7 linked regions of the Ovis aries genome follow. The protein of the gene in region 1 purifies or fractionates together with the protein of each later gene. This does not show direct contact. Links are inferred from orthologs where the notes say so. Each region holds a gene or a part of one and is shown in the gene's direction. Other genes may lie near its edges.

Region 1 (4,020 bases):
CAGGTTGATATTTATAATGAATGGTGAATCAAAAACTTTAAATATTATGTTGACAGTGCCTTTTTTAGTTTTAAAAAAGAAGTCACCATATCTCTAGTATTTTTTATTTCAATATAAACTTTTCCCTTTTCCTTTACAAAAAAAAAAATCTGAATTTGCAGCCAACAAAAATTAGACCTATATTAAGGTATGTATTTCTTCTGACTTTTATTGAAATAGCATCATTCATAAGAGATGTTTGCAGGTCGATTTTATCCTTTTTGAGAGGCTGTGTTTATTAATTGCTGAGTTTTATTTGTATTATAGCAACAATCCTTTTGTGTGTGTTGCATCCATCTAGATGCTTTAAGATTGTCATGTATTATTTTCTAATTATCATTGGTAGTTTTTTTGTTGTTGTTAAACCTAAACCTGTGACATTTGTTAACACTTAAATGTTTGTTCTGCTTTTTGCATTATCTAGGAAATATATCCTGGACAATTCCAACCATCTCTTTGTCACAAATTCATAGCCTTGTCCGATAAGGAAGGAAAACTACTTCGCAACTATACTCAGAACATAGATACACTGGAGCAGGTTGCAGGAATCCAAAAGATAATTCAGTGCCATGGTTAGTAAACTTCAGAATTGCTTTTCCCATTATATTAGTTTTGTAGGAAAAATTAGGATTAGTAAGTAGGCTGCCATTTAGGAATGGAGATTAAGCCTTATTATTTAATCATGTTACCTGATCAGGTGTAGATAAGGAAAGTAGACTGCAAAAATACAAAACCTGAAATACTGGCCTCAGCTCTTAATTGTATCCAATGTCAGATGTTAATTTGGATTTCAAAAGATGTAGCAGTTGTGTACACTTAAGTTTCAAATACTGTGCTTCGTCATGTGTGACCCTTTGCAACCCCGTGGATTGTAGCCCACCAGGCTCCTCTGTCCATGGGATTTTTCAGGCAAGAATACTGGAGTGGGTTGTCATCTCCTCCTCCAGAGGATCTTCCTAACCTAGAGATCAGACCCACATTTCCTGCATTGCAGGTGGATTCTTGACCCACTGAGCCATGAGGGAAGCCTGTTACATTCTTTTAAATAATGTTTTTTTTATTACAAAAGTGGTATTAGCTATGGATGAAAAAAACATGGCATCCTGAGGCAATCAAAGGAACTGCTGATTAGGTCAGATGTACAGAATTCAGAAATTTGAAGACTTTAAAACAAGTTTGAATAGACTTTTATTGTATCTAAACTGTTTCTGAAACAAAACTGTTAAGCTAATATAATCGTAACCTTCCAAATCTGCAGTTGTAGTCCTGGAGGAGTTAGTATTATCTTATTAAAAGAGTAGCTTTAGGAAGGGTCATTATATCAATACCTTTTTTGTGGAACCTCTTAAAATTTCCAAAGTCTCCTTTGGAGACTAGCTTTTCTAGTATCAGATTTAATTATAACTTATTTAAGAAATAGAAAAATTTCTTTAATAAAGCGTGTATTTGTTGGTTGTTTTTAGGTTCCTTTGCAACAGCATCTTGCCTGATTTGTAAATATAAAGTTGACTGTGAAGCTGTACGAGGAGATATTTTTAATCAGGTAATTTATCACCCGTATCTTAGGATTTGTGCTTGTCTCTGATCTGTTTCTTTTGCCTCAATCCTTTTTTTTGCCCCCTGAAAGTATTTATGTGGTACAGAAACATCCATGACTATGGGGGATTACAGCGAAGTACCCAAAAACCTTTCATTACCTGAAGTTGAAAACTGCGCTCTTTTTTAAAAAGTATTTATTTGACTGCGCTGGGTCTTAGTTGTGGATCTTTGTGCAGGATCTTTGTTGCAGCATGTGGGATTTAGTTCCCTGGACAGAGGCGGAACCTGGGCCCCTGCGGTGGAAGGGCAGAGTCTTAGCCACTGGACCATCAAAGAAGTCCCCATAATCTCTTTTGAATGATGAAATTGGCTTCCTAAACATTACAAAATATTTCATGTATGCTTATTGCCAAAAAAATTTTAAGATGGCAGAGCATAAAAACTATCCAGAAATAAAACTCAATGTGCATAGCTGTATATAAAATCATATAATTATGAGAAGATAGCATATTAGAATGGAATTGTATTTTACAAACTTCCTACTTTTTAAAGTTTGATTTTGGCTGCGTGCAGACGTCCTCTAGTTGCAGCGAGTGGGGCTGCTTTTTGTTGTGGCGTGCAGGCTCTTCACTGTGGTAGGTTCTCTTCTTTCTTCTTGGGCGGCTCTGTGTGGCAGGTGCAGTAGTTGTGGTGCGTGTGCTTAGGTGCCCCACAGCATGTGATCTTCCTGGACCAGGAATCAAACCCACGTCCTCTGCATTGGCAGGTGGATTCTTTACCACCTGACGTCCAGGCAGTCCCAAACTTTTAAAGGTTAAGACTCATGTACATGTATACACATGTTGCTTTTTCCTCTTAATTCTCTTTAATGTCAAATGTGGGTCTATACAGATATTAGCAGCAGATAATAGCACAATTATATTTCATTGTATGTTAGTGAAATAAGTGGGGGTGTCATTTATAGTTGATGTTTAGGTTTTATCCAGTTTTCTCTATTTATCCAGTTTTTCTGTTTTCTTTGATAAATTTGAAATGATTTCTTGCTAAGTGTGGAAATGTTGACAGTTCTAACTGGGACTTGCATTCTCTTTCCCTCCTCAACCAAAATCTGGAACACATAGGTGGTTCCTCGATGTCCTAGATGCCCAGCTGATGAACCGCTTGCTATCATGAAACCAGAGATTGTCTTTTTTGGTGAAAATTTACCAGAACAGTTTCATAGAGCCATGAAGTATGACAAAGATGAAGTTGATCTTCTCATTGTTATCGGATCTTCCCTGAAAGTAAGACCAGTAGCACTAATTCCAAGTAAGTTGGTAATGATTTTTAGAGAACCATTTCTATATATTTTTCCATGGGTTGTGGGTATGTAGAGCATACTCCAGTGATCTGTTTTTCATTAAGAGTAGTAAAGAGCCAAACTTTGGTTTTTAAAGGTGACATATTCTTGTTCATGAAGATTGATTAATCTGAAATTTCAATGGGAATAGAGGGTTTTCAAAACAGAATAACAAAGGGAAACAGTTCAACGGAACTTTTCAGTGGGATGTGTTTTTAATGCGGTAGGCGTTAGCATCAGCTAATTTACATATACATGGGAAACATTAAAAATCTATTTTAATCTTAATTTGAGCCTGTTGCTAATGTTTCACATTCTAGTAAGTTCAGATGAATAGCTTGATATTGTGTAAGTACTCATGTAAGAGAATTTTGGGACTCAAAATGATTGTTTTAGTAAGAATAACAATCATAAGCATTATATGTAGATCAGCTCTAACAAAAAGGGTGTGCATGTGTATAAAAATGCTTGAATACAACTGAATTTCCTATTATTCTCAAGAATATTTCTTTAACCCATGCCCCGATACTACATTTTTTTCTCCCTCTAGTGAGCAAGTAAGGGGGAGGAAGATAGAGGGGCTAATTCAGTTGCATCACTTGTGCCATAAAAGTGAGGGAAGGGGCAGAGAAGAGAATATCAAACCCTTAACGAGAGAATTAGACCCTCACACCAGCCAATAGGCAGCTAAACTGCTGCTTTAATAGAAACTATTCAAGAAGATTATAGGATAATTTGTAACTAAAAAGAAAATGTCTAAGCTTAGTTTTTTTCTGTTTAAACATAGAGCAGAGAACTTCTGACAAGCTTTCTGTGGGGTAGTATAACATGTTGGTGATATTAGGCAAAAGTGGAGAGTAGACTGGTATATACTTTATATCAGAAGCCATTTAAGTAGAGAAAACTCTCACCTACTAAGAGCCAAGAACTTTGCATATTAAGTCACTTACTCCTCACTGCAATCTTGTGGAGCAGTAGTCACCCTATTATACAGACAGGGATACAGGGAAACTGAACACAGAATGTAGACGTTTGAGGCAAGAGGTAATCAAGTGCTAGAAGAAATTTTGATGCTCATCTATTGACTTAATAGTGTGATGGTA
Region 2 (4,548 bases), on another chromosome or scaffold:
CCCGTCCTTTGGAGGAGAGAGGAGAAGGAAGGAGGAACTTTGAACTGGCTACTGGTCACTCTATCTCCTCCTTCTCTCCTCAGGCCTGCACTTCTCAGACACATGCTCATTCTCTTTTCATCTCTTTTCCCTTTCCACCTCGCCAATTAAATATTTTCTTCTCAAGTTCTCAATTCCTCACTCAAGAATGTACTTTCCATTTTGTTTCAAGACTCCTCTTCCTCTAATTAATTCACTAGCCTCTAGATCTTTTAGGTCTAATCATCACATCTGTCTCTTATCACCCTTTGGATAATAATAACATTAGTAACAATAGCAACTGTAGTTAAAGGTAGCATGCTTTGAGCACTCAGGATGTGCCAGAGAGTAGTCCAAATTTTCTTAGATGTATTAACTCATTTAAGTATTCCACCAACCATGTTAGTAGGTAGTTATATTTTCCTGTTATACAGTTGAGGAATTAAGACTTAAGAGGTAAGTGATTTGGCCAAGATCACATAGCTGTAGGATTCTGACTTGTCTAGAGCCAGCACTTTTACTGAATCTGGTTTCCTTTAAATTTCTTGTCAATTTTTTGTTATTGTTCCCTGCCCCTTCATCTGGTACCTTCATCGATGCCGACCCTTGCCTCGGCTTCCAGGGACTTCAGGAGCCCTCACTGCTGATTTGGGTTAAATTTTTAAAAAGGAAGCAAAGTAAGCAAGCACACAGAATATCCACTGTGTGAGAATTCAGATTGTGTTCTGGCCTTCGTCTCTACTTAAGGAAGAGGCCCCCGTGTCAGCAGCCCCAGCCGGCATCTCAGACTAAATGGGGAGTCTTTGGTTCTGTGTACCAATGCCTTCGCCTCCGTATCCTCGCCCCTTTCCTCTCTCTCTGGTATGGAGAGAACTTTGCGTCTCCTCAGCGTCTCTCTCCTACGTCCTGCCCACGTAGAGAAGCCCTCGCTTAATTCTGGGAGGTTACACGGGCCCGTGCCTACACATACAGAAAAACAAACAGCCTTAAGTACTCACAGAGAGGCACTAGATACAAACGGACCCGCACGGGCACCTCCCCAGACAAAACCACACTCGGATAGTTACGCACCGACACACAAGCACCCGCATACCCAGAAACACTCGGATGCTCGCGACGCGCACAGCTCCAGACACGCTGAAGAGCATCACGACGCGGGGGTCTGCGCATACACGCCACATGCAGTCCCTCCGGGTGCTCAGACTCGGAGGCGCGCCACCCTCGCCCCGGACCCACGCGACTCCCCGGCGGCTCTGGCTTCAGCCCACCCAGGCCGCCCCTCCCTCCGCGGGGGAGGCCTCCCTTCCTCCGTCCTCTCTCCGCTCCTCCTCCTCCGCCTAAAGATGCACGAAACACTCCTCGGAATAAACCCCGGCTCCTGGCTCCGCCCCGCCCGCCCCCCGGCAGCCGCTCCCCCATTCATTTTCGCCCGTCGCCGTAAGTCCCGCCCCCCGCGTAGCCCGGCCCCCGCTGCTCCCCGCCCGGAGACCGCGGCGCACTTGGACTTCCCTCTCCATTCGCTAGCCGCCTCGCGCCCGGGCCCCACGGCTGCGAACTGATCTGGCGCGGGGAGGGAGGGAGGAGGCACGCGCAGGCGAGCGAGCGGGCGAGAGAGGGAGCGAGCGAGCGAGCCACCGCCGGGGAGCCGGGAGGCAGAGGCAGTAGTGACCGCCTTCCGGAGCCGGGGTTCATGCCTGTCCTCGGGACCAGCGAAGGGGTCTTGACGGCTGAGTATGAGCCGGGCTGCTAGGAGCCAGGTACCCCCGCGCCTGCAGTCCCCGCGCCGTTCCCGGTATGCGAGCTGGACGCAGGGCTCTCCCAAGTTCCCTCCGAGCCGAATAAAAAGCGTCCGCCCGCAGCTCTCCGCCAAAGACGGACATTGACTCCAGGTAAGGCAGCGCCGGGCGCCGCGCCGGCAGCCCCGCTGCCCTTGGAGACCGCCCGGGACCGCATGCGGGGCGCCCCCGCCCGCCCGGCCCCTCCCCCTCCCTGCACCCTTCCGCGCTGCCCTCGGCCGCCCCGCCGCCTGCAAGTCCTCGCAGGTCCCCAGGAGGGAGGGGTGTCTCCGTATTCTGGGGCGCAGAGGGTTAAATGCGGGTCTCAGTAAGTGGCGTGTGTGTTCCTAGCGCGCTCCCGACGTGTGTACCATGGTGAGAACTTGATATGGTGCTAGTGTGTGTTTGCGTGTGCGGCGTCGTTTGCGTTCGATGCGTGTGTTTGTGATGTGTGTTTGTGTGTGTGTGTGTGTGTGTGTGTAGGGGAGGGGTGAAAAGAGGTCCTATAACCTACTTAAGGCCCGATGTGTGTGTGTGCATGTTTGTACGTGTGTGTTTGTATGTGCGCTCTTGTCTCTTTTTAATTAGGTCTCTCCGGCGCACAGGGAATCGGATCCTTGTTTTAGGATCACGTAGCCATCGGGAAACCCGCTGTGGACTCCCTCTGGGGCTCTGGGCTTGGGATTTGGCGAGGATTCTGGGAACCGGGATGGTACCTTATTCAGCCCAGTGCTGGCACCCTTGAAGGAAGATTTCTCCAAAGGATGGAGATCTGCTGCACTTGGACTCACGGTTTAATATGAAAGAGAAATGGCCAAACTGAGGCAATGAGACGCTGTCACTTTAAATCCCACACTGGGCAGATTCCAGGATTCTGGTGGGAATTTGGAGTCACTGGGTAGTGGGTGACGGAAGGAGAGAAGTCATCTGTGGGCTCATCTGGGGCTTGGCAAGTCCGGGTAGAGTCTACCCTGCCTCTCTCTGCTTGTAATCATAACAGCATTACAACCCCTCCTGCTTCTGGTGCTCTGGGGAGGATCTGGGCAAGTTTGCATGGATCCCCCTCAAGGGAGAGGAGAAAGGGCCCTCAGGGACTTGCTCATCCATCATAGCTACAGAGAATCACAGAGGAAATCTCATTTGGGGGCAGCTCTGGGAAACATGGTAGGAGATGGATGGGGCACTTTCCTAAGACAGATCCCTCATTCCCTTCCCCAGTCCAGGCCTGGGCAGTCCCAAGAGAATCTTTTCCTATACTGTGCCTCCGCATGGCTCTCCTGGGCTTAGGAGGGTACTGGGAGAAGGCAGAGAGGCAGTGTGTGTGTGTGTGTGTGTGTGTGTGTGTGTGTGTGTGTGTGTGTGTGTGTTCGCGCGTGCGCGCATCTGTGTGTGTCTGTGTTTCAGTACTGAGGGAGACCTACAATTTGGGAACTGGTTGTGGGTGGGGAACTTATGGTGGAATGTGGCGGTAATTGACTTAAAACTGCTGCTGATGTGCACCTCGCATCTCTTGCTCGGCTCCAACAAACTGCCAAGGGCACACGGGGGTGGGAAGAATCTCAGTAACGAAGACAGTCCCTCTTTCCTCTTTCCTCCGCCTCCTAGGAGGCGGCCCCGCTAAGTCCCTTGGCCTCCCTGGCCAGGTCCTGTTAGGCTTGGACTCCGGGGCCAGCCATTGATTTGATTCCCGGATGCCTCTTAAAGGCTTGCCCTACTCAGCAAAAAATGCTGAGTTTCACGGCTGTTAGCATGGCTTCCAGACTCCGGCAGCTGTTACTTTCCCAAGGTAAGAGGCAGCATTCAGCTCTTAGGCAGTGAGGCTCCAGAGGGCAAGCGCTGAGGTACTGGGCCTCAGCAGGAAGGGGCCCCTGTATAGGCCTTCTAGGGGGGAATGTAGAAATATACTTGTCTTAAATACTTGCACGTATTTATTTCTCTTCCGGGGAGAGATAAAAGCAAACGTGTTTGCAGGAACCTGCCCTGGCGGGTGGGGGGCGGTGCTACCTGCAGGCACTCACAGACACTCTCTTCTCTGGTCAGAGGCTGATGTCTCAGGCGGAAGCCTTCACACGGCCACAAGGAATCTGCTTTGGGAACCTTAGGTCAGAGCAGAGGTCCCCGGTTCACTTTGCCTGGGGTGTGTGAAGGCAAAAGATTCCCCATGTTAGGAATTGCTCTCATCTTATTTTTTTAAAAATACGTAGACAGTCAAAGCTGGAAGGAATATTAAGGAGCAGACAGCAGGAGTCTGTAGCCAGAGAGGACGTGAGAACTCCCCAACCGTCTCTAGTGAGTTGGTGGGATGCCCAGGTCTAGAGCCTGTGGTGCCTGACACCCAGGTCCATGTCTTTTCCTCTCATATCGCTCTCCACCCCTGCCCTGCCACCGCGCTCCCATCCAAGATAATCACTCGTCTTCCCTCATCAAACTTCTCCTTTCAGAGATGCATTTCAGAGCTGTTCCATCTGGAAACATGACCTGGAGAGAAAAGGTCCAATGCTTTAATCACAGTCCCCATTAGACAGACAGATAGACACACACACACACACACACACACACATGCAGAGAACATACATTCTTTCTCCAGTGCCTTCAGAGGCGCTTCAGGGACCGGTACTGACCGTGCCTAGTAGACAGAAGCCAGCAGGCATCTGGACTGTACCTGAGCTCTTTATTAAGAAATGCTTTGCTTTCCAGAGAGCCAAGTGTCCACCCATCTAGCAATGCAAATACTTCAGGCAAATTCGTTTCTTTA
Region 3 (4,020 bases), on another chromosome or scaffold:
ATTCCCCTTCTCTCTTTACCTCTTTTTTCCCCTTTCCTTTTTCTGTTTACCTGTCTCTCTTCCCTCTCTCCCCTCTTCTTTCTCTTTCCTTTTCTCCTTCTTTTCCTCACTTCCTTCCTCCCTCTCCTCCTCCATATACACAGGATGCACTTGCAGCCTTGGAAACTCCAGGAGGTCCCAGCCAGCAGAAAAGGAAACTGAGTACACCACTCTCAGAAGTCATCGTCAAAAACCTGAAAGTTGCTTTGGCAAATAGCTCTCGAAATGCTGTTGCTCTTTCTGCCAGCCCTCAACTGAAGGATGCCCAGTCAGAAAAGGTGGAATTATATCTCTTATTAATATTAAAAGGAAGTTTTAGATTAAAAAAAGAAACATTTAAAATAATAATAATTGATCTGTTTCTTTTATTTTCCATGGGCAGGAAGACGCTCCAAAGCCACTTCAGAAGGTAGTGGTGTGTGTTAGTAAGAAACTCAGTAAGAAGCAGAGTGAACTAAACGGGATTGCAGCCTCTCTAGGTGCAGACTACAGGTAGTTGGCACATCTTTTTTTTGGTGGTGATATGAACTCAATTTATAGGGAAACCTAGAACTGTTGTGAGCATCTGTTTTTTTTTAAAAAGCATTATTTTGCCTTTTATTAATAGTTTATCATAGTATCTACAAAATCCAGTTTTTATTTAATTTACCTCCTCCTTTTAAAATACCCTGTCCCATATCAATTCGCTCTTACATGTGTGTTTTTAGGGCATATTTAACAAATATATGAGAACATACTTTGTGACACTATTCTAAAAATTTGGGATCCATGAATGAGTACAGTCTAGAAAAAAAAAAATCCTTGTCTTCAAGGAGTTTATTAATACATTTAGGTCGGAGATTTTAAGCATGTTTCTTAGTGACTTTCAAATTAAAGCCCTTCTGTGAGTGCTACTAAGTGCTGCAGCACTCCTGAATTAAAATGGTCTTTTGGAGGATGTTTAATGCCTATCTTTTTTACTTTGGAGGCATAGATAACCACTCTCAACCTGACAGCCAGCTAGAGACAGGTCCCTAGCACAAATGGCATCAGTATCAGGGATTGAGAGACCCTTGCCTCTTCCGGCCAGTGCTAAGTTATCATATTCCTTCATTGTCTGCGGTACTCGCTTTCTTGACCACTTGTTTTCAGCACTTCATAGTTAGCATAATGATTGGTTTACAGTTAACAAACAGTTTGAGGGATATGATTAGCTTTATCTTTCCCTTTTGGTAAGTCATTTCAGTTATCTTTCTTTTTGATAGAGAAATTAAAGCAGGAGAATGGAAAAATAAAATATATTTGTGTAATTATAGGCACCTTAGTGTTTCATTCACCTATTGTAGAAGAGTAAAGCTTTCTTACTTACTGTTACTTGTATTGTCTATGTATTGTTCTTACCTGGTTGCTGAGTGCTCAATATGAGGCAAGTATTATCTCATACCATTCTCACAGTAGCCCTAAGAGCCCTAAAAATAGAATGCGTCCGTGGGTATTCTGTTTAAATGTGGACTTATGTAAGATTTAAAAGACACATATAGGACTTGTGTTTTTATAAGATTTAAAATGCCAGTCCTGGGAATTCCTGGTGGGTCCAGAGGTTAGGATTCTGCACTTCCACTGCTGGGGGCCCAGGTTCTATCCCTGGTCAGGGAACTAAGATCCCACAAGCCACACCAGACAACCAAAATAAATAAATGCCCCCGTCTTCTCAATATATTAAAAAAAATACATTGCTGAAATCCCTAAACAGAATTTAATAGTCAATGGCATTAATTTGGAATTTGCATTAGGTGTATTCCTGAAGTGAATTTCTGAGACTTGATAATTAAGGAGAGGAAAGAACTCTTATTATGCAGAGGTTACAGTATGTGTGTGTTCATAGGGTAATCGGCTCTCAAGTGCTGATGTTCCAGATGTTCCCTTCCATACGCACCAAAGAGATCAGTGCTACTGTCTCCCACCTGCGGAAAGTTAAAATCTAGACCAGCTCTTCCTGGCACGTCAGATATAGCACTCCCTTTTTATTACAGATACTTATACAACATTCCTTCTACTAAAATGGATTTCATAAATCTTTTATAATTTAAACTCAGTGGAAGGTGCGTAGTAATAGAATATACATTAAATATGTAAATACCTTTGTCTGATAACACAGAGGGGAATGGAGTATTTTTGCATACATACATTTTTGCATAGGCTGAAATAGATATGGAGACTCAGATACCATAAACAGCATTTCTGTTGGTAATATGACTACCACGAGTTATTCACATTTAGCAAACTAGGTTAAGGAAATATAAAATGGGAAGAAATCGGGAACACAGTGTAATAGCTAAGAGTGTGCTTTTTGAAGTCAAAATTGGCTCTACCTCTTATTCACTGAGTGTGTTACTTTAGTCACATCCTTCAGTGTTCTTATCTGTTAAATGGATAAAATAATACGGTATTTTAGAATTGTTGTGAGGAATGGATCAATAATGCTTTGTAGAGTACACAATATTATGGGGCACAGAGCAAATGTACAGTGACTAGTGGCTGCCAGCTGCTGGAGGATAGGTTGGATACTTAACTTGAAAATATCTTTATCATTATATCACCTGTATGAAGTGTTATTATAGAAGATAATTTAAAGAATATGTTTCTGCATCTCTCTCTGCATTTATATATTAAAAGATATGCATATAAAATTTAACAGTGAAAGTGGAGTCTGTCATTTAGTGTTTTTGCTTACTCTGGTTCCTGAAAGGTTTTGCATATTCTGTTTATAGAGAGTAATGATAAACTAATGTAGTTATCTTTCTCAGGTATTCAGGATCTTGTGGGTTTGATTGTTGTAGGTGGAGTTTTGATGAGACAGTGACTCATTTCATCTATCAAGGGCGACCAAATGACACTAATCGGGAGTATAAATCTGTAAAAGAAAGAGGAGTACACATTGTTTCAGAGCACTGGCTTTTAGAAGTAAGCATACTTTTTTCCCCTCCCCTTTCTGTTAAATGAAAACATAAACAGTACTTCAAGGCACAAATCCATTTCTCTGTACATAAACAAGTTTGGTAACCTTATTTAATTGCACATTTCCTTTCTTTGGCATCAGAAACTTAAGGTCTTTAATCCTTAAATGCTTAGTAAATCTTTAACGGGTATTCTTTCAGATTGTCTGATTCTTCTTGCTAGTTAAAAATGATATGAAAGAAAACTTTGTAATGCTTTGAGGAGAATTAATTTAGCATGCCAATACAGTTTCTTTTCTTTCTTCTTCTTCCATTTTCCTTCTGGGTATTCCCCGAAATGTGATTAATACTTTGGCAAAAGCATAGAAATAGAATTAGATTTTATACTTTAGTGGGCAGGACATTTAAAAGTGAGGACAAATTGTTACTTGTATGATGGAATTTTAAAGTCAACTGCTTTTCAAAACTTTAATTTTGTGAACTTTTGCCATCTTATAACATAATGTTTGGGCTGTCTTTTTCCTACTTAACATCTTTAAGTCACTAAAATTTTTTTTAGTCCTGTTTTAAAGCACACCATTGCATTACAGTGTGCCCAGGAGTATAAACATCTTCCTGAATCTCTTTATCCGCATACTTATAATCCCAAAATGAGCTTGGACATCAGTACAGTGCAAGATGGCCGACTCTGTAATAACCGACTATCCTCAGCTGGCTCTCCAATGAGGGATGATGAGGTAAACGATATGGATGATACATTTACCCCCTCTTTAAGCTGAATGTACAGTCATATATTGCTGTGAAGCCTTATACAGGGCTTGATTTGAGAAACTAATTTTTCTCCTTTAATAGCCAGATCATATGCCTGTAGAAGAAAATGATATAGACAATATGACCACCAGTAATAAAGAACTAACAACATCAAATGGAAATGGAAGGAATGACTCTAAAGGAGGTAAAATATTTTAAATTACAAACAAAATTTATAAATGTGTATCTTTCATACTGAATGCTTCCTTTGCATCAGATGAACAAATAAAGTTGT
Region 4 (4,020 bases), on another chromosome or scaffold:
TATTTTATGGCTTAACCTGGTGAAGGTACCATGTACACTTGAGAGGAATATATTGTGCTCTTACTGGATATTTTCATTATTTTACTTTTAGACTATTCATGTCTTTGGTGTAAAATGTATCTTTTGTAGATGAGATATAATTAGGCTTGCATTGTTTGAGACAGTGACTTGAAAAACCTCTTTCTTTATACTTTGCTGGGTTTTTTTTTTAGTTATTTCGGGCAAAGTATGTATTTTTCCTCTTATTCCATCTTGTCTGGAAGCAATAGTCTTAATTTTTATTTCAGTGAAATGATTAGCATATAATTTGGGAATGATTTGCATAAAACCTTACCTGAACTTAAAACTTCTGAACTTGCAGTTTATACCAGTGTAATGTATTTTAGGAAGTGTATGATGAATATAGTTTAAAGTGAGAGAGAGAGAATATAGTAAGGAGTATAAAGCAAAACTTACTTTTCTGAAGGATTCTATGAAGAAATTTTTAATGTAGTGGGATACTTTTAGGGAATATATTAACTGATATGGTTATCAAAATTAAGACATATTCACATGGAGGGATTTTTGTGTGTGTGTGTGACACAAGATGTGTATATATACAGTTTTTATGGTCTGTTGTTTTAAAAATAACTTTATTAATTTTCAGCCATATTAATGAGGATAAGAGAAAAACAGAAGCTCAAAAGCAAATTTTCGATGTTGTTTATGAGGTCGATGGATGTCCAGTAAGTATTCATTTTTGATGATTGTCGACTTATTCTTTTTGTTCTTTTTGTTTTTGTTATAGTTGACCCTTGAACTACTGGGAGTTAAGGGCACCAACCCCCTGGCCAGAGTAAAAGAAAATCTGCATATAACTTGATAGTTGGCACTCTGTTTCTGTGCTTGTGTATTCATGGATTCAACCAATCATGGGTCATGTAATACTGTAGTACTTATTTACTAAAAACGAAAACCTGTGTAAGTAGACTAGTGCAGCTCAAACCTGTGTTGTTCAGGGTCAGCTGTATTTAGATTCTGCCAGTTATAATATAAACAGAATCTTGGCACAACTTTCTTTTTAATTATAACTTTAAAAAAGTATTTACCATGAAGTAATCTCTTTTATTAATATTTTCAATCTATTCAGGCTAATCTTTTATCTTCTCACCGAAGCTTAGTTCAGCGAGTTGAAACAATTTCTCTAGGTGAGCTCCCCTGTGACAGAGGAGAACAAGTAACTCTCTTCCTCTTCAATGACTGCCTAGAGGTAAAGTTGTCCTTAATACAGTGTAATAACACTGCTGTTTGACTTCATTGAATCTTTAAAACTAAGCTTTGATTGAAACAATAAGTTTTAATTAAATTAATTGATTAAAGAAGTTTAAAGTAAAGTTTAATCACTTTTTTGATGAGACCAATTGTTGATTTAATGCTATTAATTGAATGCTTTTAGGAGAGGACCTAACATTAAGAAATATGATATTTTTTCATAACTTCAAATCCATGTCAAAATGAAAATTTAGTTTATTTCCTTGCAAATAAATGCCTAGATTAAGAATTTTAGGAACTTCTTGTATATATGTATATTCCTTCAAGATTTACAAAATAATTATGACTTCTTTTTAAAATTAAGTACATTTTCCCAGCAGAGAAATCTGTATTTTGTTGAAGATGGACATAACTTGATTATTTAATATAATGAATTACAATCCCCTGCTGATGAAACTATAGCCCACCGGGCTCCCCGTCTATAGAATTCTCCAGGCAAGAATACTGGAGTGGGTAGCCATCCTGTTCTCCAGGGAATCTTCCCAACCCAGGGATGGAACCCAGGTCTTTATCCTCTTGAATCTTTGGAGAGTTGTGGCTTGCTTTAAATTTTTTTATTTTACTTCCCCTTCAGTTTTTGTGATGTCTTCTACAACTGGCTCATTGACTTACCTTGCACTCTAATTCGTGCCATTGGTCATTCCTTGTAGCCTCCAAGTCTGTTATCTCATAGCTTGGCCTCTTACTTCCTTCATCTTTCCTGAATTCACTGACTTTTTTTCTACTCTCTCTTAGTCTCCATGTCAAAATCACATTAACTATAACAGTTCTATTTCTAACATTCAATTTGGAGCCCAAATTTTGGACCTTTAGATTTATAAGCTCTTATTCTTTAGCTTGTTTTTTTTTTTTTTTAACACCAAAACTCAGAGCAAATTTGGAATGAAGAGAATGGTAAATGTTAGAAACATTTAAAATGAATAACATCTGAACTGACATCACTTAGATATGACAGGTGATGTATCTGTATTTTGAGTTCTTACCTTGATGGACTAGCATTTGTTTCATCAGTATTAATACTTGTCATTGTTTTTCCTTTTTAAAAATGAGCCTTAAAATTATTTATTTTACTTAGCTAAATTAAAAGTACATTCAAATATTACAGTGGAAGTTAAAGAATTACTTTTTTTTGCCACATTAATATAAATGGGTTTTTAATATTTGGTATGTATCATAGATCTGTGTCATATTTCTGCATCAATGTGAATGTGATACTGACTGCCTTTTGATCTTTTCTCATTAACCAACACAGATTTCAGCCTTACTTTGTCATATTCATCATGATGAATATGACCAATCAATCTCAATTCATTAAGCAACTTAATCTAAATTATTTTGTGTTAGTGTCTTTTAGTAAATAAGCTCAAATGGTCAAGAATCCACATGCAATGCAAGAGACCTAGGTTTGATCCCTGGGTTGGGAAGATTCCCTGGAGAAGGGAAAGGCTACCCACTCCAGTATTCTGGCCTGGAGAATTCCATGGACTTTTTATAGTCCAAGGGGTCACAGAGTCAGACATGACTGAGTGACTTTCACTTTCATAAGCCCGAAAGAGATGTTCTTTTAAAAAGACAAAATAATATACTATGATTTCATAGAAATGAAAAATTTAAAGACCTTATAAAATTCTCAGAATTTATATACATCATAAGTCACAGGATCCTTTCTGATTTTGCTCCTGTCTTCTCCAGCAATACTTTATCTGTCTCTCCTTTTGGTGAGTTCCCAGTTTAATTAAAGTTATATCAGCACATTGACTTTATAATTTGCATCAGTTTGTAATGTATTGTTACTTTGATTTTCATATTTCTCAATAGTATGTAAGTGTCATGAGACCCAGAACCATTTCTATATTATTTGCTCCTTTATCCTCAGTTCCTTGCATGGGATCTAAGATAACTGTGAATTCTGTTTTTAAACTGAAGTCAGTTATTTTTTTGAACCCAAGGAAGTGATCCCAGAGCAACTATTCCCCTTTCCGAATTCAAGGCCATTTATTGAAGATTCCTTCATCCTTTGATCCCATTATTTCTCACAACAATTCTTCTAAGTTCTTTCACACCTCTGTAATCTTTTCCATAGATCCTGTTTTCCTGACTTTTGAGCTCTTTTCATATTAATGTGAACATTTCTGTTACATAGTTACATGTATGAATTGGTCACATAGTAACTATGCTGCTGCTGCTGCTCCTCCTAAGTCACTTGAGTCGTGTTCAACTCTGTGCAACCCCAGAGACGGCAGCCCACCAGGCTCCCCCATCCCTGGGATTCTCCAGTTAAGAATACTGGAGTGGGTTGCCATGTCCTTCTCCAATGCATGAAAGTGAAAAGTGAAAGTGAAGTCGCCCAGTTGTGTCCAGCTCTTAGCAACCCCATGGACTGCAGCCCACCAGGCTCCTCCGTCCATGGGATTTTCCAGGCAAGAGTACTGGAGTGGGGTGCCATTGCCTTCTCTGAGTAACTGTGCTACTTACAGATAATTTTAGAATGACTGATACTTAATGAGCTGCATATTGATTTATGTGACTACTGCCATTTTATTTTTAAGCATTTGGTCTTTGTTTTTGTTACTGACATCAACTTTTTTTTCCCCCCCAATAATCAGATAGCAAGAAAACGACACAAGGTTATTGGTACTTTTAGGAGTCCTCCAGGCCATACCCGACCCCCAGCTTCTCTTAAGCATATTCATCTAATGCCTCTTTCTC
Region 5 (4,462 bases), on another chromosome or scaffold:
CATATCCTGGCATTCCATGGACGCTCCGGAAGCTCTGACCAAGGGCAGGGAAGGGGGCTGTTGGTGACCACCTCCTAGCCCTGGAGACAATGACTCTACACTAAGCCAGGCCTATGAGGTGGGTCTCACCAGCCCCACTTGCAGATGAAGAAACTCAGGGAAGTTCTCTGATTCGCTCCCTTCACATTGCGGCAGCGTTGGCCAGGAGAGAACCCACGACTCCAGACTTCGGTATTCTTTCCACCGTACACTTTCGTCCCTAAGGGGCGCGGGGTTGGGGGAGGAGAAGAATAACCACCACTGAAAAGGAACCACTTACATGGGTCTAGCGCTTCCTAGAGGCTACACAGGATATGGGCCCACCCCCCAGCCGGGAGCGGAGAAATTTTAAATCTTTATTCTACTCACTCGCTGCGTGACTTTTGGCAAGTGTCTGCTGCTCTCGGACTTGTTTTCCCGGAAGCAAATCGGGGCGGGAGGAGTGGCGTGTGCGTGTGTGTGTGTTTGTGTGTACATGTGATGTGCGGTGTGTCTATGCATGTTGTGCGGGGGCGGAGAGTAGACTATCACCGGGGTTCCCCGAGTTTCGGATTCTCCAAACGCTCGTTCAAACTAGACGCCGAGTTGCCCCTTAAATCCACCTCCTGTAAGAAACCTTTCCGAGGCAAAGATGCGAACCCCCGCACCCTTTCTCCCACGGTCGGGAGGGTGAGGTGGGAGTGCGGAGGGGACTTAGCCGAACACCCAGTTTCAAGCAATGCAAATCACTGGACTTCCAGACAGAGCCAGACAGTCGCTACTGAACTTGACCAGGAGACAAACTTCAGGGCATTCTCAACGTGGGGGGCCGACTCTCACGAACTGCCCCCAAATTTAAAAGCCACTTTCACTCGCCCCCACAGGGGACTTAACAGAGCCACCTTAAGGGCGGTGCTCCCGCCCCCCGGAAGTGCGGGGGGGCCAGGAACCCAGGCGCTCAACGGGCCCGGCCCGCCCCGAGCGGCGGCGAAGTGCCCGCGGGTGACATCGAACCCCCAAGTGGGGAAATACCACCCGCCCCGCGCCCTCGGCCCCAGACACCTGGCTCGGTTCCCCTGGCCTCCTGGGTCCTAGCATCCCTGGCATTCCCATCCGAGCCCTAAACTTCAGCCCACTTCCCTCAGAGGCTGGGAGCGCCGGAGTCCGCCCGGCTCGCGGCAGCCACCGTCACTAGACAGTCAAACCCCAAGACGTCAGCCCACAATGCACCGGGCGGGCCGGGAAAGACGCGTCGGGGAGGGAGGGGGAAGAGAGGGGCGCGAGTCGCGCGGAGCGGGTTGGGGGGAGGAGGAGAAAGAAGGGCCCAACTGTAGGAGGGCAACGGAGCATTACCTCATCCCGTGAGCCTCCGCGGGCCCAGAGAAGAATCTTCTAGGGTGGGGTCTCCATGGCGACGGGTGGGCCCGCCCCCCTGAGAGCGACGCGAGCCAATGGGAAGGCCTTGGGGTGACATCATGGGCTATTTTTAGGGGTTGACTGGTAGCAGATAAGTGTTGCGCTCCGGCTGGATAAGGGCTCAGAGTTGCACTGAGTGTGGCTGAAGCTGCGAGGCGGGAGTGGAGGTGCGCGGACGCAGGCAGGCAGACAGGCACAGTCAGTCGAGAAGGACAGCAAATCCTATTTTCCAATTTCTCTCCAACTGCCCGGAGCTAGCGCTTGTGGCTCCCGGCCTGGTGTTTTGGGGAGCGCCGGGAGAGCCCCTTCGCCAGCCGCCCCCAGGCGGAGAGCCCCGCTGCGCGGGCGCTGCTGACAGCGCGGAGAGCGGCCACTGTCCGCCCGGGGAAGTCCGGAGAGCGGCTGCAGCGGCAAGAACTTTCCCGGCCAGGAAGACAGGAGACAAGTGGCCGCCGGGTCCCGGAACGAACTTTTGCAAATCTTGCCTCCGCCCGAAGCTGCCGCGGCGGCGGTGAAGAAAAAGAGGCGGCGGAGAGAGGAGGACGTGCGCTCCGCTTCGCTCGCACCGGTTGCTGAACTTGGGCGAGCGCGAGCCGCGGCTGCCGGGCGCCCCCTCCCCCTCTCAGCGGAGGAGGGGACAGTCTTCCGAGTCGGGGCGGCGGACACCCGCCGCCGGCAGGCAAACGCGGGGTCCGCGCTCCCTGCTATCACCGGGAAGCGAGTTCGTCCGCGGGCTCTGAGGAACCGCTGCGCTCGAGAGAGCTCCGTGAGTGACCGCGACTTTTCAAAGCCGGGCGGCGCGCGCGAGCGGACAAGTAAGAGCGCGGGCGGCGTCTTAACCCTGCGATCCCCCGGACCGAGCTGGTGAGGAGGGCGCCGGGGGCGGGGGCTGCCAGCCGGCGGGGGCGCGCGCTCTTCCAGAAACTTTCCTTGCTCACTGCCCGGGGAGGCGCGGGTGTCCCCCGCTTGCCAGCGCGCTGTTGCGGCCCCGAAACTTCTGCGCGCAGCTTAAACTAAGCCCACGCGAAGTGACGGACTGTTCTATGACTGCAAAGATGGAAACGACCTTCTACGACGATGCCCTCAACGCCTCGTTCCTCCAGTCTGAGAGCGGCGCCTACGGCTACAGTAACCCCAAGATTCTGAAGCAGAGCATGACCCTGAATCTGGCCGACCCGGTGGGCAGCCTGAAGCCGCACCTCCGGGCCAAGAACTCCGACCTCCTCACCTCGCCCGACGTTGGGCTGCTCAAGCTGGCGTCGCCCGAGCTGGAGCGCCTGATCATACAGTCCAGCAACGGGCATATCACCACCACGCCGACCCCCACCCAGTTCCTGTGCCCCAAGAACGTGACGGACGAGCAGGAGGGATTCGCCGAGGGCTTCGTGCGCGCCCTGGCCGAACTGCACAGCCAGAACACGCTGCCCAGCGTCACGTCGGCGGCGCAGCCGGTCAGCGGGGCGGGCCTGGTGGCCCCGGCGGTGGCCTCGGTGGCGGGCGGCAGCGGCAGCGGCGGCTTCAGCGCCAGCCTGCACAGCGAGCCGCCGGTCTACGCCAACCTCAGCAACTTCAACCCCGGCGCGCTGAGCAGCGGCGGCGGGGCGCCCTCCTACGGCGCGGCTGGCCTGGCCTTTCCCGCGCAGCCCCAGCAGCAGCAGCAGCAACCACCGCAGCCGCCGCACCACCTGCCCCAGCAGATACCCGTGCAGCACCCGCGGCTGCAGGCCCTGAAGGAAGAGCCGCAGACGGTGCCCGAGATGCCCGGGGAAACGCCGCCCCTGTCCCCCATCGACATGGAGTCCCAGGAGCGGATCAAGGCGGAGAGGAAGCGCATGAGGAACCGCATCGCTGCTTCCAAGTGCCGGAAAAGGAAGCTGGAGAGGATCGCGCGGCTGGAGGAAAAAGTGAAAACCTTGAAAGCGCAGAACTCGGAGCTGGCGTCCACCGCCAATATGCTCAGGGAACAGGTGGCCCAGCTTAAACAAAAAGTCATGAACCACGTTAACAGCGGGTGCCAACTCATGCTAACGCAGCAGTTGCAAACGTTTTGAGGCGAGACTGTCGGGGGCTGAGGGGCAACGGAGAAAAAATATAAATAACACAGAGAGACAGATTTGAGAACTTGACAAGTTGCGAGAGAGAAACAGAGAAAAAAACAAAAGTGTCCGAGGACTAAAGCCAAGGGTATCCAAGTTGGACTGGGTTGCGTCCTGACGGCGCCCCCAGTGTGCACGAGTGGGAAGGACTTGGCGCGCCCTCCCTTGGCGAGGAGCCAGGGAACGGCCGCTCGCGGGCTGCCCGGGTTTGCGGACGGGCTGTCCCCGCGCAAACAGAACGTTAGACTTTTCTTTAACGTTGACCAAGAACTGCATGGACCTAACATTCGATCTCATTCAGTATTAAAGGGGTGGGGTGGGGGAGGGGGTTGCAAACTGCAATAGAGACTGTAGATCGCTTCTGTAGTACTCCTTAAGAACACAAAGGGGGTGGGGGAGGGGAGGCGGGAGGGAGGTTTGTGAGAGCGAGGCCCAGCCTGCAGATGAGCTCTTTCTGGCCTGCCTTCCATAACTGTGTATGTACATATATATATTTTTTAATTTGATGAAAGCTGATTACTGTCAATAAACAGCTTCATGCCTTTGTAAGTTATTCATGTTTGTTTGTTTGGGTGTCCTGCCCAGCCTTGTTTGTAAATAAGAGATTTGGAGCACTCTGAGTTTACCATTTGTAATAAAGTATATAATTTTTTTTATGTTTTGTTTCTGAAAATTCCAGAAAGGATATTTAAGAAAATACAATAAAATATTGAAAAAGTTACCCCTCCCCCAACCTCTTTTCTGCATTATCTATAGATTACTTGTCTAGGTGGAGTTGAAAGAGTTGAGTGTCAATTAAAATCACTGTGGGTGCTTCTTACTAGCAGGCCCTGAAAACTGTTGTCTGCTTGACTTGAGAAAGAACTGCAGCTGATGCTGTCATCAAGTTAATACTTTTCCCTCCCCAGCAATCTACATAGAGTTGCTTACCA
Region 6 (4,814 bases), on another chromosome or scaffold:
GGGATATGTGTGTGTGTGTTGAGAGGTGGGGCAGGGATGTCAGCAAAGGATAAAGAAGCTGATTCAGAAGCCTGCAACTGAAGAACACAGCTTTTGGGAGGGTAGGGAAAAATTACCGCTTGAACCAAGCAATGCATGAGCCTCGTTCTGGTTCTCACATGCACAAGTTTGGTGAACATGGGATTGAGGAGATCAGGACTGCCTGTACTTAAGCTGATCATTCAGTGATGATTCTAGCTTTGGTACTGAGGAAGAGACCAGACACACAGACATAATGCACAGCAAAGAACAGTTACAGTCCCCTTTCATGCACCAATAAATAACACATCCACTTATCAAAATGCCAAAGCAAACGTGGGAGAGAAAATTTTCATCTATATTCAGGATTAAACTTTCTAATTTTAAATTACTAGACTTCAGCTGTAAATTTATTTCAGATGAAAGGTTTGGAGAGATTATTAATGAATCTTCCAAAAGCCTGGACGGTGTTCAAAAAATTAACATAATAAAAAAGTCCTGCCGTCGGCATGGCAAAAATCATAGGCATAAATTTGTTGAGGACCTACTTTGACAGCACTGTGGTAGGTTAACTGTGACTTCTAATACTTTGTGACGTTTCAGTCTTCTCAACTTCTTTATCATCTCTTACAATGTTCATTTATAACTCTTTATTATTCGAAACGCAGCTCAGCTGTATTCCCTCAAGTTGGTCCCAAAGATATTTCCTCGTTTGAAGACGGGGAGGAGGGGAGAGCAAAGTCTCTACTGAATACTCAAGACGTGACCTTCTTGGTATTTGTGCTGGTATCTACGTGGTCTTTCAGAAATCCCTGAACTTGTACACAGTTCGAGATAAGATCGCCATCCATCACCTGCCAAGACCACACCTGCCAGCCCTCGTTTCACGCCATAAGTTTCTGCACAGCGACCGCTGCTCTCCCAGATACTAAATTGTGGCCTGTTAACACCTTAACTCTTAAGTCTGGGGGCCTCGGATCTGGCCGATGTACTTGGGGGCGGGGGGCCGCAGGGCGGACGTGGCCGCAGGGAGGAGGGCGCGGCCTGGGGGCGGGGGCGGCCGAGGTGACAGCAGGTGAGCGCCCATCGCGCAGAAGGAAGTGAGACAGGCCGGCGTGGGGATTACTCATTCCGCTTCACCGCCGAGGTGGCTCGCAAGCGGAACTTCTCGCCCCTCTTTCGGTCCAGCTGAACTTCTACCTCGTTGAAGTCACTTCCCACCCCCGGTTTGCTCGGGGGCGGGGGGAGGGAACCGTGCGTCCGAGGAGGGGCAGGGAGTCTCGGGGCGCCGCGTGTCCCGAACCAGCCGCCCGCCAGACCCGCCTGCCCGCCCCTCGATTGCGAGGCATCCCCGGGCGGCCGGGGTTGCGTGAACCGCCACCCCCTCCACCCCGCCCCCCGTAAGGCCGAAGGAAGACAGGTCGATCCCGCCACTCCGGGGGCGGCTCCGAGGGCACGGGATAACGGCGAGAATCAGCTAGACCCGAACGTGCCCCTGGCGGCCGCAGCGGGTGTGGCCAGTTCAGGGCTCCTATTTTACCTTTCTCGGCTCCGACGGCCAGTCGCCCTTCGGACCACGTCCACATGGTTCCCCCGCGCCCCCACCCCGCCACCCCCGCCCGCGACACCTGGAGGAAACTTTTTCCTCGCCCCTCCATGCAAACTCAGCTGCTCCCCCGTCTGCCGCAAACCGTCCTCTCCCTAGCAACAAGGTTCCGGCCGTAGAGCGAGTGGCTCTAGGTGTAAGGAAGGTGATGTCGTAAAGCCGCGAGTGTCGTAAACCAGGTGCGGTGGGGAGGGGGGAGGGGTGGAGGCGGAGGGGCGGGGGGGGGGAAAGGGGGAGGGAGGGAGGGGGAGGAGGTGACTCGAGCATTTAGACACAAGCGAGAGGATCATGGCGGATGGCCCCAGGTGTAAGCGCAGAAAGCAGGCGAACCCGCGGCGCAATAACGGTGAGTGGCGGAGGGGACCGGGGAGCGGCGGAGTCAGGGGGAGCCGGGCGGCCGGTGCGCCCCCGAGGGCGAGGGGGGCGAGCTGGGCTGGGGGCGGCCGGGCAGGGACGGGCCAAGTGGAGTGGGAAAGTAGAAAGTAGTGCTCTCTGCCCCCCTCCGGGCCGCCGCCGCCGGAGCCGCGCCGCGGCCGCCCGCTCTCCCTGAACCGTTATGTCTCTTACCTGGTCTCTCCGCCTAGCGGCTCCCGCCGCCCCTGCCGCCTCGCTGGACCGTTAGCCGCCGCTGCCGCCGCCGCATCCCCGGCGCGGGCGGGCGGGCGGCCGGGACGCGGCGCCCACTTTTCTGGGCTCGGGGGGGAGCGGCTGTTGCTTCTTTCCGCACTTTTTCCCCACTCTTGTGCCCCCTCGGCGCCCCCCTCCCCGCCTCCTCGGCTTCCTCGGCGGTTCGTCCCCGCGGCGCCGAGGCCCCGGAGCCGAGGAACTAACTTGTGCCCGGCGCTTGCCCGTGCAGAGTGGCTTCCGCGCGCCGCGGCCCCGCCGGCGCGGTGGCTCGGGCCCCGCGGCTTGGCCAGGCGGGCGGGCCGGGCTGCGGGCGCGCGGCGGCGGGACGCGGCGGCCGCGGGCTGCGTGTCGTCCGTGCGCGCGTGTGCGCGGAGCGCGCGGCGGGCGGACGGGCCAGGCCGGTGGCGGTAAAGTTGGGAGCGGCCGGCGAGGCGCGCTCGGCGCGGGACGGGGCTTCACGGTCCTCGGGGTGGGGTGCCGGTCCCTTAAGCGCCCCGAGCGCGGTCCGCGTCCCGCGGGGAGCCGGCGGGCGGGGCGGGCGCGGAGCCGCGGCCGTGGGAGCCGTGGGGTGTGTAGGGGGGGCGGCGGCGGCGGCGGGTTGGCAGAGTTGTTACCTGGTCTCGGGACCGGGAGGAACCGCAGACAGGTCCCCCCGCCCGGGAGGACGCCTCCTCTGCGCGGGGATGGGCTGCCGAGCGTGCGCCTCCCTTGTTCTCTTTCGGTTTGGGGAAGTTGTTACCTGGGCCGGACGCGCGGGGCGTGAAACCGGCGGAGGGAGCTTGGACGGCGCTCGGGGTCTCGGGTGGAAGGAGTGTGGGGGAGGGGGGCGGCCGGACCGACGGACGCGGGTCGCCGCTGCCCGCCCGGCGGCGGCGGCGGCCGCCGGGTTTACTAATGAGTGCTGATGCTGCGCGGGGAGGGGCGCGCGCACACACACACACCCCCCATCTGCCTGGCGTGAGAGTTTAGAAAAATAACAATAATAACCGGAGAGCGAGCGAGCGAGCCCCGAACATGTGTTGGGTTGCACAGTCGCCCTTTGCGGTGGGGAGAGACGGTGGAAGTTGGTTGCATTTCTGCTATCTGGGGGGCGATGCTGCGCCCGCCCGCCCGCCCGCTCCGCGGCGACCGTCTGCTGGTGGGTATTGTCTGGACAGTTCCTGCGGCGACAGGGCCGAGGCCGGAGCGCGGCCCCCGCCCGCCCGGTACCTGTTTGGAGAATAATGGGCGGCTACGGCCCTGCCGCTGGCTGCGGCCGAGTCTATATAAGGAATTGCACGGATCTAGCGGACCGAGGGGCTCGTATGGGTTCCTGCGTTATTTTTAAAACGAGTTTCTGAGAGTAGGGAAATAAATGCGCCTGGAACGGGATCTCCGTATCCTCCAGAAAATGAGGAAATACGGGTTTAAGTCAAAACTCTCCGGCGCTCGCCCCACCCCCAGGCCCGGGCTCCCTTTCTCCCTCCCCTGCGGGATGCGAAACGCGAGGTTTTGTAACCTTTCCTGGCAATTTTAGATTTTGTGTGGGATTTCCTGTCTAGAAGCAGATACGGAGGTTTTTAGGCGGTTTCAAGATGTAAACGTAATTTTAATTTATTCTAGCCGACATTGAAACCGCCGCTTTCGTGAACGGTCTTAGTTATCCAAATACACATTTGCATTTTAAAGACGTCTGATAAGTGATGATCGATAACTAATATTTGGCGTCCTCGTTGTGGAGAGATGACTTGTTACGGCCAGGAGCGGAGCACAGGCTATTGCAATTTTAATTTCCTGTTTTAGCGTCAAACAGTGTGTGTGCTATATTGAGCTGTTGCTGCTGTTGCTGATGTGGCTTTATGAAAGGTAAGTTGGTCTGGAAAGGGCTGTTCGCGTTTTACCTTATTTAAAATGTTCATCGCCAGAGAAAGGGGCTTTTCTTGTTGCTGACGACATGTGTGTGACATGTGAGTCTGAACCACCCAGCGTCTGTGCAGCTGCTGTAAACATGTTTACCTGAGCAGGAAAGGATGGATTTTTCTTCTAAAGATCCTGGGATGTGACTATTACACCCATCAGGCATATCAACAGATGACTTAAGGGGAAAAAGCGATCCTGAAAGGTACTTGAAATCAACAGGAAAGAGAGCTGTTGGATCGCTGCAGCAAATGGCAACTTGTGCAGGTAGAAAAAAGATGGGGTTTAGTTTTCCTCCTGCATGTATGTCAGCCCGCTCCTGTCTGCTGCTTTCATTCTCAAGGGAGGGATTTATTTACCGTGCCTGCTGTCAGTGTTTTTCCTTTGTGTTTAATATTAGAAAAACAGATTTGGGGATGTTTAGCACAAAACGTCTTGTCTGCAGTGAGGATTACTCTCAGAAAACAAAAGGTGTTTCAGATAGCAGTGTGCTACTACAGGTATCTTCCATTTTCATCACTTTTGGCTCCGTCCTTGTATTTCTTTTTGTTCTCAGATTCATTTCATCCATTGCTGATTATTACAGCCACGCTATTTGATTAAGCCTCCTGATTTGCAAATTAAAAATGAAGTTACACGCCATTGTGTTGTGAAACCTCAGGATAGG
Region 7 (4,020 bases), on another chromosome or scaffold:
TTTTTTCTTCTTTAAACAACTGTTTAAGTGTAAAAACCATCATTCTTAGCCGTACAAAAAACAAATCTGGGCCAGAGTTTACCAGTCCCCCCTACAGAAGCTGCCTTATAGCAGGTCATCTGACAAGGTCAGATGACAAGGTTTCCTTGTCATTTATTTCCCTGCAGTATATGTCGGTTGCCCTTGCTGAGTCTGAACTACTGAAATCACCCTTAGTCTAAGAATTCTTTATAGCCTGCAGTTTAGACTCCTTGATTGAATGTTTTTCAAGGTGTTTTTTGTTTTTTTTAAATAGTCCATGAAATTTTGGAAAGTGAGTCGAAGGAAATAGAACCAGGGCCTTTGGCTCCCTACTCCCATGCACACTTCACTACCTGCTGCTCACTCCTCTCCATCCTCAGATTTGGTTTGGGCTGGCTCCACCTGAGGTGTCTCCTGGTCCGCAGCTTCCGCTGGCCAGAGACCTAAGGCTGCTGTTGTCTAATGAAGAGAGATCAGCAGAGAGATTTTTCAGTGGGAGAAAATTAATGCAAAAACATTAGTAAACCTTAGTTTACAGCTTTAAAAAGAAAGAGGAGCAATGAAGAGAGAGCAGCTGTTAGAAGGTTATGATCTATTGCTCCATCAGAAACTTGTTCTTAACAGTTACTAACAAATAACTGTTCTAAACTTGTAAACAGTCTCTTAGCAAAGAGTTACTAACATTTCTTGTTCTCTCATGCTAACCTGCAGGTGACAAAGGGTGACAGCAAAAACGCTAAAAAGAAAAACAACAAAAAAACTAGCAAAAACAAGAGCAGCCTGAGTCGGGGCAATAAGAAGAAGCCAGGCATGCCCAACGTATCCAACGACCTCTCACAGAAGTTGTATGCCACCATGGAGAAGCACAAAGAGGTAAGAGAACAGCCCCCAGAGTAGGAAAACCAAGGCCAGGGTCCTCCAGAACTGCCCACCATAGTTGGTATTTATGATGTGAGCACCAGATCATTTGAAACTCAGAAGGAAGAAAATCATACTGGAGAAGGAAATGGCAACCCCCTCCAGTACCTTTGCCTGGAAAATCCCATGGACGGAGGAGCCTGGTAGACTACAGTCCATGGGGTCGCAAAGAGTTGGACACGACTGAGCGACTTCACTTTCCCTTAGGAAAAAAAAAAAGAAAATCATTTGAGGGAGAAGAAAGCAAAAAGAGGGTAGTGAGAACATGAAATGGTAAGGTATCTTACTTAGATCTGTAGCTGTTACAAAGCTATATGGTGTTGGGAGAAGTGTAAGCAGTTTGTCTGACCCTATTGTTTGTAACCGTTTTATGTTTGTGTTTCTGTCCATTGTTCAGAAGATGGGCTTGTTGGATATCTTTTGGGTATCTTTGTGCTTTTGCTTTATACCAAAGCCCCTTAGAACTCTATTTGGCCATTCAAGTTTCTAATGGAACTTTGGCGAAACTAATGAATGTTTTGCCATACTGAAAGGGAATTGGCAAATGGAGAGGACTGAAGAAAAGTTAAACTTTGATATATGCATTCATGAATGCCTTCACAGCAAAGTTAAAACTTGGAATTATTTCATTATTGGATATTTGTTGTTTGGGAATAGAACTGAGTATGTTGGGGGTTTTTTCCCCTTCAACATTATTGTTGGTAAGATGAGGCCTTTTGAAGGGTCATGTTGGTTTGTTTAAACATCTGTTTATCTCCATGTTCAGACATCAGGTTCTTACAGGAAGAGGCTATTAATGTGGAGAGGGAACTGATGGTTTGATTTTAGGTGTGGAACTCTGTCATAACAGCGATTAGGAAAGGCCCTTAGAGTATGTTGTAATAGGTATGACTTCAGTTGTAGATACATCATCTGAAGAATATGTGGGTAGTAGTCTCCTGTTAGGAGTTAGAATCTAATGTAATCATTTTATTAAATTTAGGTATTGTTTTAGCTCTAGGGTGACATTCAGCAGTCAGTCACGATGGCTGTTATTAGAGGTTGGCCATAGGGAGTCACCAGGTGGTTTGATCTGCCCCCACTTGTTAGATACAGTACTTCCCTGTGTGTGATCACATTTTCAGGACACTCCTCCTCACTCTGTGAGTGCTTGCTTTGAGCCACAGTAGCAAACCCAGTATCACAGTCCCCCCTTGAGCTTTTAACTCTGGCTTTGAATGTCTTTACTCAGTGTGGATGCTCTTGTCCTGTGTTGTTCGTGGCGTGTGCAATCTTAGTCCCATGTCCCGTCTCCCACCCCCACCCGGGGCCGAACCCATGCCCTTGCAGTGGCAGAGCAGTGTTAACCACTGGACCACCAAGAAAGTCACTGTGTTCTTTTTCTAGACTCTTGTACTATGCCAACATTGCTGCCCAGATATATAACAAATATTATTGCCAGTTTGCATAGATTTTCAGCCTCAAAAAAATGGACAGGTTATAGTGGGCAATACAGCAGTTACAAGTTCTTGATCTCTTGAAGGTTCCCTTTTACATTTTATTATTACAGAAATAGCAGCTTCCTCTTGCAGCCTTTAAACCAGTGGTTATGGGAATCAGTGGTTGTGTTGTGTTTTTAAACAAAAATTTTTTGTTTCTGTAGCAAGGAAAAAGATTTTGCTTTTTTATTCTTCCCACCCCTACCAATTTTTTTTCCTTCCAAACTTACAGGAAAGTACAGAAGATGCCCTCCTGTTGCTTTCAGCTAGATTCATCAGTTAACGTTCTACTACATTTTATTTCAGTAAGCTCCTTCTAAGACAGAGGACACGCTCTGCATAAGCGTGCTGTGACTTCACACTCAGGAAACCTCTCCCCTGTCACCACCTCCCATCTGCTCCTCTGCTGCATGTTGAGTTGCCATGTCTCAGTTCCTGGCTTTATTTTCTTTAATGACATAGGCATTTTGTGAAGACTCCAGGCCAATTGCTTTGTAGAATATCTATCCGTTTGGGTTTTTCTGATTTATTTCCTTATAATTAGAGTCAGGTTAAACCATGGATTGCATCTTAAAAGTTGACCTCTTTGAAGTAGAATGTCCCCTGTATGGCCCTGTGTTTGACCATTCTTCTTTTGAAGAATTACTGAATGAGATAAGATGCAGATGTTTTAGGCCCACTGTAGTCAGTTTCAAAAAAGAGAACAAATGCATGAAGCAGGAGAACGCGGGCTGTGTCGTGGAGCCTTGCAGGGTGGCCACAGAAGGAAGCCAGGCCTCCCGGCCCCCGGGTGCAGAGCCTGGCCAGCTGCCTGCAGTGCTCAGTTCCAGAGTCCAGAGGGGACTGTCTGTGTTGCAGGTCTTCTTTGTGATCCGTCTCATCGCTGGCCCTGCCGCCAACTCCCTGCCTCCCATTGTTGACCCCGACCCCCTCATCCCCTGTGACCTGATGGATGGGCGGGATGCCTTTCTCACCCTCGCAAGGGACAAGCACCTGGAGTTCTCATCACTGCGAAGAGCCCAGTGGTCCACCATGTGCATGCTGGTGGAGCTGCACACCCAGAGCCAGGACCGCTTTGTCTACACCTGCAACGAGTGCAAGCACCACGTGGAGACTCGCTGGCATTGCACCGTGTGTGAGGTGGGTCCCTTGGCGGGGAGGGCTGGGGGATTCCAGGTACCTGAGAGGCAGTTCAGAGGTGGTGCTGGCCTGAGGGCAGCCTCCGGGGCCAGTGTGAGGACCAGAAGAGGCCAGGTGGGGCCTGGTGTCAGATTTGAATGGTTGGGCTAAAGAAGCTTTCTCTAAAATGGGGCTTTTCAGCCCAAGCAGGATATGTAAGTGCTTTTGAATGGCTTGAATCTTGGAGTGTTGACCTGCTCCTGTTTTCCCCAGGATTATGACTTGTGTATCACCTGCTACAACACTAAAAACCACGACCACAAGATGGAGAAGCTCGGGCTGGGGCTTGATGACGAGAGCAACAACCAGCAGGCCGCCGCCACGCAGAGCCCCGGAGACTCCCGCCGCCTGAGCATCCAGCGCTGCATCCAGTCGCTGGTGCACGCCTGCCAGTGCCGCAACGCCAACTGCTCGCTGCCGTCCT

The links.
Region 2: the proteins of SIRT1 (region 1) and BRINP1 purify together in Homo sapiens (affinity purification with western blotting; 6 studies listed by BioGRID and IntAct, with this or other methods). This does not show direct contact. The link is inferred for Ovis aries from reciprocal best matches to the Homo sapiens genes SIRT1 and BRINP1.
Region 3: the proteins of SIRT1 (region 1) and TOPBP1 purify together in Homo sapiens (affinity purification with western blotting; 3 studies listed by BioGRID, with this or other methods). This does not show direct contact. The link is inferred for Ovis aries from reciprocal best matches to the Homo sapiens genes SIRT1 and TOPBP1.
Region 4: the proteins of SIRT1 (region 1) and ECT2 purify together in Homo sapiens (affinity purification with mass spectrometry; 3 studies listed by BioGRID). This does not show direct contact. The link is inferred for Ovis aries from reciprocal best matches to the Homo sapiens genes SIRT1 and ECT2.
Region 5: the proteins of SIRT1 (region 1) and JUN purify together in Homo sapiens (affinity purification with mass spectrometry; 4 studies listed by BioGRID and IntAct, with this or other methods). This does not show direct contact. The link is inferred for Ovis aries from reciprocal best matches to the Homo sapiens genes SIRT1 and JUN.
Region 6: the proteins of SIRT1 (region 1) and ZEB1 purify together in Homo sapiens (affinity purification with western blotting; 4 studies listed by BioGRID, with this or other methods). This does not show direct contact. The link is inferred for Ovis aries from reciprocal best matches to the Homo sapiens genes SIRT1 and ZEB1.
Region 7: the proteins of SIRT1 (region 1) and EP300 purify together in Homo sapiens (affinity purification with western blotting; 3 studies listed by BioGRID and IntAct, with this or other methods). This does not show direct contact. The link is inferred for Ovis aries from reciprocal best matches to the Homo sapiens genes SIRT1 and EP300.

The regions. Positions count from the first base shown.
Region 1 is NC_056078.1:23,651,469-23,655,488, forward strand, and holds part of SIRT1 (NAD-dependent protein deacetylase sirtuin-1), read left to right. Parts: intron 1-463; coding exon 464-611; intron 612-1,502; coding exon 1,503-1,582; intron 1,583-2,699; coding exon 2,700-2,886; intron 2,887-4,020. UniProt on the Homo sapiens protein: NAD-dependent protein deacetylase that links transcriptional regulation directly to intracellular energetics and participates in the coordination of several separated cellular functions such as cell cycle, response to DNA damage, metabolism, apoptosis and autophagy.
Region 2 is NC_056055.1:4,122,472-4,127,019, forward strand, and holds the start of BRINP1 (BMP/retinoic acid-inducible neural-specific protein 1), read left to right. Parts: upstream 1-1,629; 5' UTR 1,630-1,907; intron 1,908-4,548. UniProt on the Homo sapiens protein: Plays a role in neurogenesis and brain development. May suppress cell cycle progression in postmitotic neurons by inhibiting G1/S transition.
Region 3 is NC_056054.1:256,420,845-256,424,864, forward strand, and holds part of TOPBP1 (DNA topoisomerase 2-binding protein 1), read left to right. Parts: intron 1-143; coding exon 144-317; intron 318-421; coding exon 422-531; intron 532-2,858; coding exon 2,859-2,982; intron 2,983-3,565; coding exon 3,566-3,712; intron 3,713-3,827; coding exon 3,828-3,930; intron 3,931-4,020. UniProt on the Homo sapiens protein: Scaffold protein that acts as a key protein-protein adapter in DNA replication and DNA repair. Composed of multiple BRCT domains, which specifically recognize and bind phosphorylated proteins, bringing proteins together into functional combinations.
Region 4 is NC_056054.1:215,421,179-215,425,198, reverse strand, and holds part of ECT2 (protein ECT2), read left to right. Parts: intron 1-646; coding exon 647-725; intron 726-1,129; coding exon 1,130-1,249; intron 1,250-3,917; coding exon 3,918-4,020. UniProt on the Homo sapiens protein: Guanine nucleotide exchange factor (GEF) that catalyzes the exchange of GDP for GTP. Promotes guanine nucleotide exchange on the Rho family members of small GTPases, like RHOA, RHOC, RAC1 and CDC42.
Region 5 is NC_056054.1:33,493,759-33,498,220, reverse strand, and holds JUN (transcription factor Jun), read left to right. Parts: upstream 1-1,557; 5' UTR 1,558-2,477; coding exon 2,478-3,485; 3' UTR 3,486-4,251; downstream 4,252-4,462. UniProt on the Homo sapiens protein: Transcription factor that recognizes and binds to the AP-1 consensus motif 5'-TGA[GC]TCA-3'.
Region 6 is NC_056066.1:33,350,737-33,355,550, reverse strand, and holds the start of ZEB1 (zinc finger E-box-binding homeobox 1), read left to right. Parts: upstream 1-1,893; 5' UTR 1,894-1,912; coding exon 1,913-1,970; intron 1,971-3,772; exon of another isoform or gene 3,773-4,089; coding exon of another isoform or gene 4,090-4,096; exon of another isoform or gene 4,097-4,398; coding exon of another isoform or gene 4,399-4,414; exon of another isoform or gene 4,415-4,814. UniProt on the Homo sapiens protein: Acts as a transcriptional repressor. Inhibits interleukin-2 (IL-2) gene expression. Enhances or represses the promoter activity of the ATP1A1 gene depending on the quantity of cDNA and on the cell type.
Region 7 is NC_056056.1:218,165,782-218,169,801, forward strand, and holds part of EP300 (histone acetyltransferase p300), read left to right. Parts: intron 1-732; coding exon 733-894; intron 895-3,275; coding exon 3,276-3,557; intron 3,558-3,809; coding exon 3,810-4,020. UniProt on the Homo sapiens protein: Functions as a histone acetyltransferase and regulates transcription via chromatin remodeling. Acetylates all four core histones in nucleosomes. Histone acetylation gives an epigenetic tag for transcriptional activation.